2 linked regions of the Struthio camelus genome follow. The protein of the gene in region 1 purifies or fractionates together with the protein of each later gene. This does not show direct contact. Links are inferred from orthologs where the notes say so. Each region holds a gene or a part of one and is shown in the gene's direction. Other genes may lie near its edges.

Evidence for each region.
Region 2: the proteins of POP1 (region 1) and RPP25 purify together in Homo sapiens (affinity purification with mass spectrometry; 3 studies listed by BioGRID and IntAct, counting the BioPlex papers as one, with this or other methods). This does not show direct contact. The link is inferred for Struthio camelus from reciprocal best matches to the Homo sapiens genes POP1 and RPP25.

What each region holds. Positions count from the first base shown.
Region 1 is NC_090943.1:147,514,370-147,522,061, reverse strand, and holds the start of POP1 (ribonucleases P/MRP protein subunit POP1), read left to right. Parts: upstream 1-4,371; 5' UTR 4,372-4,595; coding exon 4,596-4,716; intron 4,717-7,500; coding exon 7,501-7,689; intron 7,690-7,692. Other genes in the region: RIDA (2-iminobutanoate/2-iminopropanoate deaminase), read right to left, coding at 36-90, 658-763, 4,112-4,176. UniProt on the Homo sapiens protein: Component of ribonuclease P, a ribonucleoprotein complex that generates mature tRNA molecules by cleaving their 5'-ends. Also a component of the MRP ribonuclease complex, which cleaves pre-rRNA sequences.
Region 2 is NC_090953.1:23,324,528-23,331,493, forward strand, and holds RPP25 (ribonuclease P protein subunit p25), read left to right. Parts: upstream 1-4,412; 5' UTR 4,413-4,770; coding exon 4,771-5,421; 3' UTR 5,422-6,434; downstream 6,435-6,966. UniProt on the Homo sapiens protein: Component of ribonuclease P, a ribonucleoprotein complex that generates mature tRNA molecules by cleaving their 5'-ends. Also a component of the MRP ribonuclease complex, which cleaves pre-rRNA sequences.

The sequences.
Region 1 (7,692 bases):
CATTACTTGCCTGCCAGCACCACAGCAGCACTTACCATTGCAGTAGTCACAGCCTGCAGCTTTCAGGATTTCTCCCATGTTTTTTAGGGCCTATCAAGAAATGAGAAAAATCTTTTAAGTACAGCTTGGCTGTATTTAGATAAGTGGGTGTTGCAACGTGACTACATCCATGGTTATAGTTAAGAGTTTAGTTAAGAGTTTACCCAGGTAATCTTCAACAGTCATCAGTGGGCAAGCAAAACCATAGATGAAAAAGTAAAATAATAAAAAGGAACTTCTTATAAACCCCCAGTATTGAACTGCCCACTCAAAAGATACAAATGTAAGATGCAGCCCTATCTCATACTATTACTCCACGCACCCTCTTTGCTCCTGAGGAAATAAATCCTCTTCCCTCAACCGAAAGCCAGGTTTCTTACTGGGGTCCAGTTCTTTGTTCATTGACTCTCTCCTGTATGAAATACAGATTCCTGCCTTGGCCTCCAAGCTGTTCGGGTGACGAATGACAGGGATGGGATAGAATTTTTCCTCCTGGTTTTCCCTCATTTTGGAGAATGTGGAAGGTTGTTCCCTAAGGCTCTCCCATTCCTCATGGGTTCACCTTTAACTGAGCACATGCCAACTCCACAGCAAGCATATTGCTAGAAGACATCTTACCTGTTTAGCTTCCTCCTTTGCCCCTCCGGAGACAAGCTGCCCACTGGAAGGTTCTATACCTATCTGTCCTGCAATATACATGGTCCTATCTACCAGTACTGCTTGGCTGGGAGGAAAAAAAAAAAAAAAAAAAAAAAAAAAAAAAAGGACAAGACATTTTGAGAGCTCATTCAGAAATATTTTTCCCCAGTCAAAACATTTAGCTATTTAGCTACCCATCTCTGCAAGTAGTCTCCTGTATGGACACTTTGCATTCTCTTCAGTAATTTATAGCATCTCAAGATACAGGACTTAGGTTATACATGAACAAGTTGAACAGTCATATACTCACTCTGCTTATGCTTTGGAAGCGCTAGGATTGAGCCACCTATGGAAGCATACATCCACATTAGCATGGCTTTATGTATGCAATAATAGGCCTTGTCTCAAAAAGGTGCAAGGCACTAGCACAGCAACGCAACACTAACATAGATGCATAGCTTCCAGACTAGAGCTAATCCAGAGGGGAGGCAGAATAATTAAAATGTTTCTTGCATCTGCCCAAATAACACTGGTTCTCTGGCAGTATTTCTCCAGAGTCATGAATTTGGACAGTCAGAAAAGCACCCTGATCACTCCATTCCCAGCACAATCAGTCTCCTCTGAACAAATAACCTGGGTGTCCTGTTGGCAGAGTTAGTTCAGACGATTGCAAAATTCAAACTATCTGAAAAACACTTTATATAAAGTGTCAGGTCCATTTCTGCTGAAGTAGAGTTGGCCATTGGTAAAGTCTCTTAATTATCACAAAGAGATTAAAAGATTAAAACCAAGATTCAAACCACCTAGCAAACATTATGCAATAGACATAATTTACTCCTCTTCAGCTGGTAATTAAAAATAATTTGCAAGAAAACTAGAGAAAGGCTCCTTTCGAAAGGTTTGCGGTGGGGCAACATAATTTTTCTTATCTCTTCCCACCCCAGAAAAAAAGTTATTGTTCTGATAGTTCAACAAGCCTCTTACATTATACAGGCTAGAATCAGATACCTACGTGACGCATCTCAATTAGAAGGTTAGTTTCCCTATAAAGTCAATAGACGAAGAAAGGGACTCCTTCAGAGAGCACTTCTAACAGATTTCTTCTCTAGATTGCTCTCTCCGTTGACTTCACAGGGAGCCTGACCTAATTTAGGTGCTCAGTAAAATGATTAAGGTTAGGCAATCTAAACAGTGTCATCACTCCCATCTTTCCTTTTACCTCTGTCCCGCATTCTCCTACAATTTCATAAGGGGGAAAAAGAAAGAGCTAGTAACTTATCTGATGTAGTGAAATACTTTATGTGATGATTACTCTCTCTGACATTAGGAGCTTACCAAGCAGGAGTACATGATAAAACTACACAATGTAAAGAAGAGAAACTGGCAAAAGAAAGTTTTTCTACTTGATGCAATCTTGTTGATAGAGAACGTGCATACAAACACAACATAGACTCTGCTTTTATTTTGTTTTCTTTCCCAGAACATCCTGCTTTGTCTGAGGCACATGCCTGTTAGACCACAAACTTCTGCTTCAGTTTGATGCCAGGTTCTCCATGCAGTAGCAAGATAGCAGCTCTCCAAAACAGAGGTTGTCTTGCACTGCTTATTATACAGGAAACAACACGATGAAGCATTTAGCACAACAGAGGTCTTTGGACAGTCCTAAATCATGAATAATTAGGAAAAAAATGCAGAAGCTTTCTGAAAACACTGTCAGATGAGCACTTACAGTAATCCCATTCTCTGCTCCTCACCTCCTCCTATGCTTATCAGTAGCATCCCCTGAAGATGTATCCTATAACTAGGGGCAATCGTAGCTACTCTTTAATCTCTGATACAGCAAAGATTTAAGAACGTGTCTAAAGCCATTCAGATTTCAGTTTACCGAAGTGCATAACTAGATGGATATTATGACCTTAGGAAAACATCATGCATCAGAGAGGTGGAGCTAAGAAACATGCTCAAAAGTTAATCAGATTATTTTTTAAACAGAAAGGATTGTTAATACATGAACAACTTCTCTGCTGTATACATGTTTTTATACAAATATATATCAGATTACTGGAAATTAAATGAGGTAACAGAAATACAAAGACATGGTAAAAATAGGTCACCACAAAGCACGCTGAAGGGCTGGAGCAGAATGAAGAATGTCACCCATACATCCCAACTCTTCATTGATATTTAAGCCCTCATTCCTCTGTTACCATGCTCAGATTCCACGGTAGAAACATAGCAGTGATTTCTTGTGCAACTTTTGCTCACTGGACTTTGAGAAGTTTACTGGAATCAGATACATTAAGTTAATGAAAGACCTGTGAAAACAGTTACAGGCTGCACAACAAGCAGCATTTCATTAAAAACCACCAACAAGCAAAAAAAGTCAGAACGCAGTTAATCTACAACAGAAGGGGAGGGCTATGGTGAAGGATAGGCCAGTTATTATGTACGCAGTGGAAGAATTCTTGCTGTCCCACGTTTTAGATGTTCCTCTAACCACAATAAATGCCAAATCCCTCACTGCAATCCACCAACAATTCTGTTTACAGAACAGTAACGGTAGTTTCCTTCACGTAACAATGCTGTTTCTGCTTCTAGATGTTGTATTTCTCTATCTGTATAGTTTCCACAAAAAAAAAAAAAGAAGTTCAAAGTTCAGAAAGTGCAATTTCAAAGTACTTGAGGCAAAAAAAAGAAAGCATCTGGAAGGCACAAAAGTAGAAAACTTAAAATCTAACGAGACTGCATTTACAATGAGGAAGGAGTCAGAATGCAGCATTAAAAGTTCTTAGAAAATGCTGTTAAGAAAATCTCTCAGTGCCTTCAAAGTAATAGTGCACAATATTTACTGACCACTTATCCAAGTATCAAAGAGGAAATTTTCTCCAATTAAAATTGGCATTTTTTTAAATTACGTTCTGAACGGTTGCAGCTGACAGGTTCTTTGAGAAAACACCTAACAACATCCTGTTTATTTTTGCACCCACCAGCTTTGACGCTGAAAAGCATTACAAGGCCTTGCTGCACACACTAAGTAGGAGAAGACTCGCAGTTCCCAGTCCGTCAGCTCCCTTACCGCCAAGCACGCCCTCGAGCGGATTTAACGCTCACCCCCCAACCCCTCCGGAGCGCAGACTCACTGCTGACCTGCCTATAAAACACCTGCCTTCTGAGCACTTTTTGGTTTCTTTTTTCGTGAGGAATCAATTCTTTTTCCCACACGCTGCCTGTCACCGATTTCAAAATCACGTCCAAATCCTTCCGGCAGACGCTTACAAACCTCGCTTACAACGGCTGGGATCCACTCCCGGGGAAGGCCCCCGGCCTCCGCACGCCGCGGGGCAGCCCGACCCACCCCCCGCCACCTGCTAGACACCCTAACGGTAAAACCTGCTCCCTCTCTCTCCTGCTTCTCCCCCTCGCTGCGGTATACCTGTAGGGACCCATCGCAGCGGGCGCTTTAGCCGTGCTGATTATCCTCCTCATCACGGCAGCCATGTCATCAGCCAACTGGCCCCTCACACCTTCTCCCCGACGCCCCGAGCACCGCGACCTCCCTCCCTCCCTCCTAATCCGCGAGGGCCAACCCGCAGCGCCGCCGCGCGCATGCGCCCCGCTCGCAGGGTGTTCTGGGACATGTAGTCCTGCTGAAGCCACCGGCACCGTCGCGCGCATGCGCCCCGCCCGCAAGGCGTTGTGGGAGATGTAGTCCTGCTGAGGCCGCCGGCGCCGCGCGCATGCGCGCTGCTGGGGCTGGCGCGGCCGCGTGCGGCGGGTGCGGGCTGCTGAGGGGATCGGCCGGGCGCTGCACCGCCCAGTGACTCCCGCCCGCCTCTCTCGGTCCCGCAGGGACCGGCAGCCCCCGCCGGGCGCCTCGGGCCTGTCGAAGGGAGCGGGACAGGACAGCGCGGCCAGAGATGTCCGGGGCGAGGGAGAAGAAGCGGGCCAAGAAGATGAGAAACCAGCCGGCCAGCGTGACGCTGCCCGCCGAGCCCGGGCCCTTCGCGGCCGGCGGCAGCAGGGCCTGCCCGCCGCCAGGTACGGCTGTCCGCGGCGCGTGGGTACGGGCCGCGGCTGCCCCGGCACGGGAGGTGCCCCCCCCCGCCGCGTCGGTTCCCTGCCCCCCCGCCGCGTCGTCCGCCTACGGGCACCCGGCGCGTGCGCCGTTATCCGGAGGGGGAGGGGCCGCGGCCCCGCCCCGCGCCGCCCCGCCCCGCCCCCGCGCGGCGCTGCCACCCTGCGCTTCGCCCTCTTTCGGCGGCTCCTTCAGCCGCGGTTGTGCAGCGCGGCTCTTAACACGCGTTTTTCCTGTGTCCTCCCTCCGGTTGCGTTACCAATCCCCACCCTCCCCCTGCGGCTTAAAGCCAGTTTTGGTGATACAAGTGACCTCCCTTCTCTCCCTGTCAGATCGAGGAGCCGCCGAAGGACCTGGTTTAGCTTGCTGGTCCTATAGTAAACGCGCTATTTGTCTGCCAGCTCAGCACGTCTAACCCACTTTCCTTATGGCCCTTGTGGTCTCTGTATCCGTGAAAAGGTAGTGGCAAGAGGCAGCAAGACGTCTCCCTAAAAGGGCAGTCCGGCTAGGTCATTGCTAGAACATTTAACTTTTAGCATCTGAAGGCTGAAGGATCCGGTCAAGCTGAATGCCGGAAGATGCAGTCTGTGTGTTCCAGCCGGTGCCCTGTACCATATGCCTCAATCAGACTTCTATTTTTTTCTCATTTCACATTTTGATATTTTAGCTATTTTGTTTTAGGGGGAGGGGGGAAACAAGTGCAAGAGCAGGAATTTTTACTCTGAGGACTTCAAATGTTGACAAATTGTGTCTTTCTGGTTTAATAAAAAATGGGTAAGTGTCACTGCAGCCTCTTTCTCTGTATATTTAGGTGACTGAAGCGTTTGTAAGCAGACAGAATGACATTGCAAATAACAGTCAGCCCTATTTGAAGATTTGGGGATATCTTTATAGGAGTACTATCAGATTAAGCGCAGTTTTCTGACTTTGTGAGGAACTGACTGACCTTTGTAAAGACTACATGGTTAGAATTTTCTTTCCCTTTGAATAGCGTGCACTTTCGCCCAGCTAGCGTTCTTCTCTAGTGTTAGTGAGTATCTTAGTATCTTAGGGTGTTTTTTGTAAAAATGAGGAAAACAGAATTCTAAATAGGAGTTAGAAACCATGGACCTGTGTAGTACCTGAAATAATGTAGTTCTTCTTCTGATAGTAACATAAATCAGTCATTGTCTTTGGAAACACTCTTCCATTTTGATCTTAAGATATGTTTTCCTTCATTTTTAGGCTAACTTACTTGGCAAAGGTTGTGTGTGTTATATCACTGTTATATGTTGCTGTCAAGTTACTTTCCCACAGTTGACTAGACTGTAGTTCCACACAAATTTGTTTACTGAAGCGGCCTCTGTCCCTCTCTCCTGGCTGTTTCCTTCCCGCCTCACCTAATTGTGTGCATGGTGCTTGCTCAGCTGTTAGTGCAGCCATGTGGAGAACATAGATCAGGGAATCATTCTACGTAAAAATTAATTTTTATTTTCCCCCAAATTAATTTTTCGTTTGAAGTGCTGCATTGCTACATGATATGTGGCTGAGAGGGGACTGGTTAAGCCAACAGAAATGGTATTGCTGCTGAAGATAAAATTTCAGCTTCGTGCTTACTTAAAACTGAAGAGTGAGGTTCTGTGCCATTTTAAATTCATTTAAATTGAGGGTGAATCTGCTCCTGGCTGTGTCTCTGTCCTTCTTTCCTCATATCCTCAGTGGAAGCATTTGTGGGATAATGTGATGAGCTTGTTTAAAAAAACAGTCAATCTGAAAACTGTTTTTTGTTTGTTTGTTTTGTTTTTTTAACTCCTCTCCCCCGACGCAGGTTAATTTTCAGTAGAGCAGCCCCTGAACTGTATTGCCACATGTTACCTCTAGCACTAGTCTTGATGCAGTGAGTGGGATGGTGGCAATGGCTGGCTGGGCCCTCTTCAGTCCATGTGCGTTAACCTGAGCTGCCTGAGAACCGTATCTCAAGTTGTGCCTGAAATCCTAACCAGGACTTTACTGAAAGAGTTGAATATAAGCTAATCTTTAAATATGGACTTCAATGCCCTTTTAAACTTCCTTTTCCTGCTGTTAGGTTCTTTTCACTCCTGAAAATTTATCTACTTATTTCTGTAACTTAGGAAGCTAACTTTAGACTTTTGTTATTTAACGTTCAATATTGATTTAAATGCCGATATCAGGGAAGTGTGTACTGTAATTTACTGCACCAGCTTACATGTATCATGCTTACATTGTTTATTGCTATAACAAAAATGTGTTTATGCAAGTCTTATTTGAGACTTAGAAGATACTAGAAAAGAACACCTGTGCTCGTGGAAAACAATTTAAGGAGCAAGAGGAAGAATTACCAACTTTGCTGGTGTGATACTAAAACCCTGACTAGACCATAGCAGGAGCCACTGCTGAAGACAGTTGCATAGGCTGACTTAAGTCAGGGCTTTCCTATTAGGCCTAGTGCAGTCCTGGAGGCCAAGTCTGGATTGAGTACCAGTTTCAGAATGTGCGAAAGGAATTTAATCTACACTTGGTGCATAATAATGCAAAATTTTTATTTCTTACGATGAATAAAAACCTAATTCTGTGTGCCTAAGACATGATTTCTAATATCTTTTTCAGGTACATATGTTAAATATTTGCAAATCATACTAAAAGGAATATGTAATGCAGTCTCATTAGGAAAGACCTTAGAATTATCAGCTATTCAGACTACTTTGACTGTATTTTTTGCTACCTCTGTTTACATCTAAACCCTCCAGGAGATGTTCGTTCTGAGGATCTGCCACAGTATCAACAGCAGAAATTTTCACATCAGTCATCTGGGACTTCTTACAGGAAAGACCAGTATTTTCCAAAAGGGCAAAATAGAGGAGGAAGAGGCAGAGGAAGAGGAGGATGGCAAGGAGAATGCCAGAGTGCTTCTGAGGAAATGCCTAAATACATTACAGGTT
Region 2 (6,966 bases), on another chromosome or scaffold:
CCTCCTCTGCTGGGGGCCCCGCTCCCATGACCAGCCATCATTGAACTCCACCTGCACCCATGTCCCCTCCTCCTCCCACCATGATGCCAGGGGAGGTGGCAGGTGCCTGGGAGCCTTCAGGGACACAAGAGAGCAACACTCTGCCCTGCAGCACCACAAACCCTCAGGTACACAGGCTCAGAGGGAAGCAGAGAAGCCAGTTTCTCTGCGAGAGGTTGAGTGAGAGCTACACAGGAGCAAAGTGACCTTCTCCAGGGGCAGAAGAGCCTTGTCACAGGCAGCACGTACCTGGAGGACCAGTTTCTTTTTGGATAGACCAGGGTTGGGCGGTGTTGATGGTGGGAGAGGGCATTTAGGCTGGGATATTTGCTTTAGAAATAAAAGTCCTCTTAGGAGACATCCACCCAGGGGAATCAGGGTGACCAGCACCTTCCACAGGAGGAAGGGGGCAGGGTGGACAAGCAGCTGGCCTCAAGAGGCCCTCCTAGGCATATTTCCTCCATGTACATTTTACACATACCCACTAGCATTTCCATTCCTTTCCCAACCTCTGCCTGCTTCTCTCTTTACAGTTTGCAATCCTCCAGGGCTTCCCTTCCAGAGCAAATGGGAAGCTCTTCCTTCTCAGGGAGGGCTTCTCAAAGGGGCTGGTCACATCCACAGCCACTGTGGGGTGGCCCATGGGATCCAGAGGACTGCTGGGCCTTTGCTGCTCCCTTTGGGTGCTCTGCCCAGTCAGGCTGGCTTGCTCCTTCTTCCAGCCTGGAGCTGGAGTCACTCTGCTGGCCCCCATTGCTCCCACACATGGGAGCTCAAACCCAAGGTCTCTCCCTTTTGGATACTTGCCTGTAATTTGAGGTGTCCAAGAAAGGGTCATTTCCACTGGGGTCCCCAGGGAAGGCTAGTGCCAGCTCTGCCAGGGCACAAGCAAGGGCCAGCAAACACACAACCAGCAGGGCAGGGGCTCCACCAGCCAGGGCCTGGCCCAACCCCACAGGCCCAAGCAGGGCAAACCCAGGAGTCCAGACCAGCAGCAAGCTCAGGCTGAGGAGGCAGAGCCAAAGGCCAGCCTAGGAAGTCAGCCCACAGCTTGGGGTCTGGACCAGCCGCATCCCCAGCCAGGCACAGCTGTGGCCAGGCTGAGGAGCAACACCCCTACAATAGAGTTGATGGCCATAGACTGAACTTAAATGGGCACTGAGGGTGGGCAGGTGGAGGCCCCAGGTGATGCTGGTCAGGGCCATTAAGAAATTTTAGTGCCCTCAGGGCCCTGACAGGTCCCTCTTAAGCTGCTCTTGTCCCTATGCCAGGAAGCCCGGCTCCTGCCCAGCCCCATGGGGAGGGTGCCATCACTGAGGGCTTTCTCTCCAGCACAGAAGGACTGACCTCCACTAGGCCCTGTGATGGACACCAGATTTGCTGACTTGTAGGCTCACTCTGTTGATCCCGGCCCTGTTTGCCTTGCATGTGGTTTCCACGCACGGACCCCCAGGGGTGCACAGCCCCTCGGCAGCACAGGGAGGCGCCCCGGGCCCCGCGTCCTCTCGGCAGACGTGTTGGAGGGCCGTTCCTCCTTGTATTTCTTAGACCGTGGTTGAACGCTGTGGTGACCCCAGCTGCAGGTCTCCTAGTCCTGGGCCAAAGCCCATAGCAGCTGCATAACCCAAAGGGGCAACCTGATACACGTTTCCTTTGCCGGGTAGCACGGGCTGGGATTTGGGGTCATTTCGGTGGGTTACCTGGGGCAAGCGCCGCGCTGAAGGAGCAGGCGGGAGAAAGCCGCCGCGCAGCAAGCCAGCGTTGCTCGCCGCTATTGCTAGCGATTCGGGGACGAGCAGGATCCTTGGCCGCGCCGCCGCCGCCTGCGGGAGCGCGGACGGAAGGACGGGGCTCTGCGCTCCCAGGCCCCGGCTAGGCTCAGGGCAGGCGGCTCGGCCGCCGCGTGCAACGTGATGACCGCCTGAGACCTGAGCCGGGGCGATGTGACGCAGAGATGGACGGCGACTTTCCTTGTATCGGATGCTTCGACTTTCCGAACGACTCCCGCACCTCGCATGAAAGAAAATATAGAGAGGGCAGGCGGAGGACAGGGGCTCGGGTTACGGCACGCTCCTCTCTGCCTCCCTACTCTCCGTTATGAATTTGTTTCCATTTCCCCCCCCGCCGGTCTCGGCCTGAGCCACCGTCACGTCTAGCTCTGCACCCGCTCGCGCTCGCCTTCCCTCCGTGCCCCCGAAGCGCCGCCGGCTCCCGCAGCCTCGGCCGCTGGCCTCGCGCCCGCCCCGACAGCGGCGGATGCTCAGGGAAGACAGACAGACAGGCAGGCAGGCAGGCAGCACGCGGGGCGTAGTTGCTTCGCTCCTCGCTTCTCCATCCCCGCTTTTACCATCTGCCTCTTCCGCATTTTAATCGACTCCCCGCTCTCTCCTGCCCCGGCGTGTCCCCCCCGCAGCCCCGCTCTGCTCCCCTCTCCCGCTCCGCTGCTCTTTATGCATGAGCTCATTGCAGCTCGGAATAACCCCTCCGCTCTGCTGTCCTCCAACAAACAAGCTGACAGGGTAATGAATGGCTTCAGATGGTAATTAGCGGCGGAGCTGCTAATAATGAAATGCATTTGCATTTTAAGCGCTGCCGAGGAACAGCAAGACCCTGCCGCTGCTGCCCCCCCGCCGCGGGGGGAGCGCGCCCTCCGAACCCCTGCTCGCGATGCGGAAACGCTTTAGCGTGATCGCACCTCGTCTCGGAGGCTGCAAACGAGCCGAGTTTGTTAAGCAGCAATTGGGGGGGGGTGAAGCTGCCCGGGATGCAGCATCCGACCGGCGTGGCGCGTCCCGGCACCACGCTGCGCCCAAAACGCGGACCGCCGGCGGCAGGAGTTGGTCCCGGCCCAGGGAGCCTTGGGTGGGCTGGCTCAGCGCCAGGGACTCATCCTGCTGCAAGCCCCAGCCCCGGCTGCGTTCCAGCCTCCGAGGCGCGCTGCATCCGCGCCCGAGCTCTGCGTCCGCCTCGAGCAGCCCAGCGCGCCGGACTCCCGCAAGACGCGTGGCTTTTGTGCCGGAGCAATGTGTTTCTGGAGCTATTTCATCGCTTATGGAGATTTTTTTAATTTCCATGCCTATAAAGTTTATGTGTAAAGTTAACGAGAGCTGCTTTGCCGGTCCTTCGCTCTGAGCCGAGATGCTCTGTGAATGGTTGCCAAAATCCTGCCCATTTATTTTCCTAGTCTTTTAGCCTGAAGATGCATCTCTTAAAGGCAGCAGTTTCCATGAGAGGCTTAATCCATGGCAGCCTGCCGGAGAACGGAGCCGAGCGGCTTATGCAAGGATGTCACAAATATTCATCACATGTAAGGGGAAAAAAACAACATTGTGTTTCCCGGTGCGAGCGAGCGGTTCGCGTTGGAAACGTAGCGCCTAGGCAGGCTCACTGCCGCAGAGCGCCGGGCGGGACTTAGCGGGCGCTCCAAGCCTCCATCCGCCCCCGACGCCGGGTGTGAGCTTGGGCCAACGGCGTCACCTTCCCTGCCTCGGTTTCCCCTGTCTGCGCCAAAGGGATCCAGTCTCCGGCCTCTTTGGGTGCAGCAGCCTTCTCCCTGCAGACCTCGCCGCTAGGCTCTGCGCCCGCCCCGAACGTGGGTCCCTGCGGTGTCCCGAAGCCCCAGCGCTTGGACCCCTGGGTTAGGCAGGTTGTTTGGGGCCCGCAGAGACGTCCTGGCCGGGAAGGGGACCGGCCACGGCCTGCCGTCCCGCAGGTTTCACCTACGTTGGCATCAGGTCGAGTGATTTATTTACGTATTTTTCAAGCCCTGCCAGGGTGAAAACAATCCAGGGGCCTCCAGAGGCCGATAAGATTTGAGTGCAAGTCAATACGCGGGATGTCTTTCCAGTGTGCGATGATCCGCCGGGGGGAGAGGAGGGGACAGGCACGCCGGGAGGTGGCAAGGGCAGCCAAAGGGCCAGCCTCGGCCAGGGACACGGCCTCTTCCCGGGGAGCGGTTCAGGCTCAGCTCTGCGCCGGGCAGGCACGTTTTGGGGGCTCGTCGCTCCCTGGGCGCCCCCAGGGCGGCTTTGCCTGGCAGGCGGCCGCGGGCCGATCCCGAAGGCTGCCCAGCGCCCCGTCCCTGCGTTATCCACGCCGCCCCGTCGCAGCCAGCGCCGAGACGGCCGGCGCGGGGGGGGCGAAGCGACCAGGTTCGCTTTAAGGGGCAGGACTCGGGCGGCGCTGGGAAGCCGAGGGCGAGCGCTGGGCTCTGCCTTCCGCCTTCGCCGGGGCTCGCCGGGCTCCCCGCCGTCGCCCGCTCGCCGGCCCTGGGCGCTGGGGAGCCTCCGCCGGGCGCGGGGCTGGGAGGCTGAGCGAGGGGGGGGGGGAGGAGGAGGAGGAGGAGGGGAGGAAGGGGAGGGAGAGGGGGAGGATCTGCTAATTACACACAACGGCTCTGGGGGCTGCTGAAGTCCAGAATGAAGCAAAGAGCAGCAGAAGCGAGCGCTGCAGCGGGAGCGCAGGAGCCCAGGCATCGCCCAGCGCCGCCGCGAGGACGCAGGGGACACCCCGGGCACCCAGCAGCTCCGGCTCCCCGCAGGACAGCCTCCGGCACCGCCGCCGCGCCAGCTGCTAGCTCCTCCGCAGCCAGCCAAGGACAGCGGTAGGGGCTGGTGGTCCCGGGGGTGCCGCGTCAAACTCGACCTCCTCCGGGCGGGCGGCGGAGGGACCCGCGTCGTGGTGGCCGGGGGCTAGGTGCCCCCTCGGATCCGCGCTCCCCGCCGGCGAGGGATGGCTGCCGGAGGAGGGGGAGCCAAGCCCGTCGCCCAGTCCAGGATGGAGAACTTCCGAAAGGTCAGGACGTCGGAGGAGGAGAGCCCCTTGCCCTTCCCCGACCTGCCGCCCGGCGTGGTGGAGATGAAAGTGAAGGAGGGCAGCAAGATCAGGAACCTGATGGGCTTCGCCATGGCCCAGATGGAGCTGAAGGGCAGCCGGCAGATCGTCTTCAGCGGCTGCGGCAGGGCGGTCACCAAGACCATCACCTGCGTGGAGATCATGAAGAGGAAGCTGGGAGGCCTTCACCAGGTCACCAAGGTACGCTACAAAACCCTGCTGGAGGTGTGGGAGAACAAGGACCCGCTGCCCGGCAGCCCGGCGCAGAACCTCACCGTCCACAAGAACGTGCCCTCCATCTGCATCCTGCTCTCCCGGGACCCCCTGGATCCCACCCAGACGGGCTACCAGCCCCCGGAGCCCGGCGCGGGGCCGCGGGCGGAGGAGAGCCAGGCCGGGGCAGAGGCGCCCAGCTCGTCCGCCAAGGGGCTGAAGAGACCCCCGGCGCCTCCCCGCGAGGAGCTGGCGAGCAAGAAGGTGCAGGTAGAGGTCCCCGACGGCCCCCGGGGCGCCGGCACCGTGGACCTCCAGGCGGGCCACCACCACTGACTCCCCTGGCGCCCCTCGGCCCGGCGAGGGTGCTCGCCCCGCGGGGGCTGCCGCCGGGGCCGGGGGGAAGAGCAGCCAGCGCCCGCGTCTTGGACCCTCCGCGGGGCGCGGGAGCAGGCTGGGGCCGGCGGCGGGTGCTGGTCCCGGCCGGCGGCGGGTGCCGCGGGCCGCCGCAGCCCCTCTGCCCCGCCGGCTCTCCGTTGCACCACCGCCGGCCGGAACGGGGGGGGCCGCGGCGGGTCGGGGCGCGGGACAACCCTCCGGTCCCAAATTTGTTCTCCCCGCCACCACCCTCTGTCTCCAGCACCTCGGGTGTTTCCCCCTGCCCGGCGGGACGGCACCCCGGCCCCCCGCGCAGAGGAAAGCGACGGGGAGGGAGGGGTGGGAACCGGTTAGGGTGGCCTTGTGCTGACCACACGAGCAACGAGTTGCTCGGGTCTCAGCGCTGAGCTCCCCGGCATGCCAGGGGACGGGGCCGATTTGCAGGCTGCCGGCGGGGAACGCGGAGCCCGGGCAGGGCTCTCGCCAGCTCTCCGGGACGGCGCCGGCCCCGCCGCAGGAGCGGGAGCAGCCTTCGCCTTTCGGAGAGGTGCTCCCGCGGGTCCGGCGCCCGCGTGTCGTTGATGCGCGCTGAGATGTCTCCGACGTCAGGCGCGATGGCTTCGCTCAGAGCCCCTTGGAGCAACGCCTTCGTTATCCGAACGGCTTCAGTTACGCCCGGAGACGAGCTGCCAGGTTTATTAAAGCCGGGCTCAGCGCCTCGCGGCTCTGGGATTCGTCCCGAGTACGGCTCGCAAACGAGCAGCCGCCTCGGCTCGGTCCGGGCTCGCGTGGTTTTCGGTCGTCGTTTTTATTCTGCCCTCTGCTCCGAAGCGCCTCGAGCGGGTCCGCGCCGCCCCGGGCGTTTTATCTCCCGGAGGGCTGTTCGCGAAGGCACCCGGCTCCGCTCGGCTCAGGGCTGCGCCAGGCGAAGGCGAGGAGCAGGAGCAGGAGGAGGAGGAGGAGGAGGAGGAGGAGGAGGAGGAGGAGGAGGAAGCCGGGCGTTTTGTTTCGGGCGTTTTGTTTCGCCATGACCTTGTTATCTCCCCGAGCAGACAGCTGCTCCTCCGGCCCGAGGCCTGTGCTTATCTGCCCTGCCACAGATTGATTCCTTTCACTTATCTGCCGCCGTGTAATTGAATATTAATTCCCAGTTGTTGTTGTTTTATTTGCTTTTTAAGCCTTTTGTTTCGTTTTGTTTTCCCAGGCAGGGACAAAGCCGGGGGAGCGGGGGGGAAGTCACGAGACGGGGAAGCTTCCCCTAGCTTGGGAGTTGGTTTTCAGGGTCAGTGTCCTGCTCCGTTAAAAATCCAGTCTTCACTTCTCGGGGGAATACGAGTCCAGCCTCCCTCCCCTCCCAGATCTCTGCTCGGAAGATGCCAAAAGATGTGGTTTTGGGGACAGGGACGGCAGGGGCCGCGGGGCTGTAACTGTGCAGAGCTCCTCTGCTCTTTTTGGCGTTTTAAGTCTCTTTGTTTTGATGCAGAAAAAAGTTCCCGGGGCTCC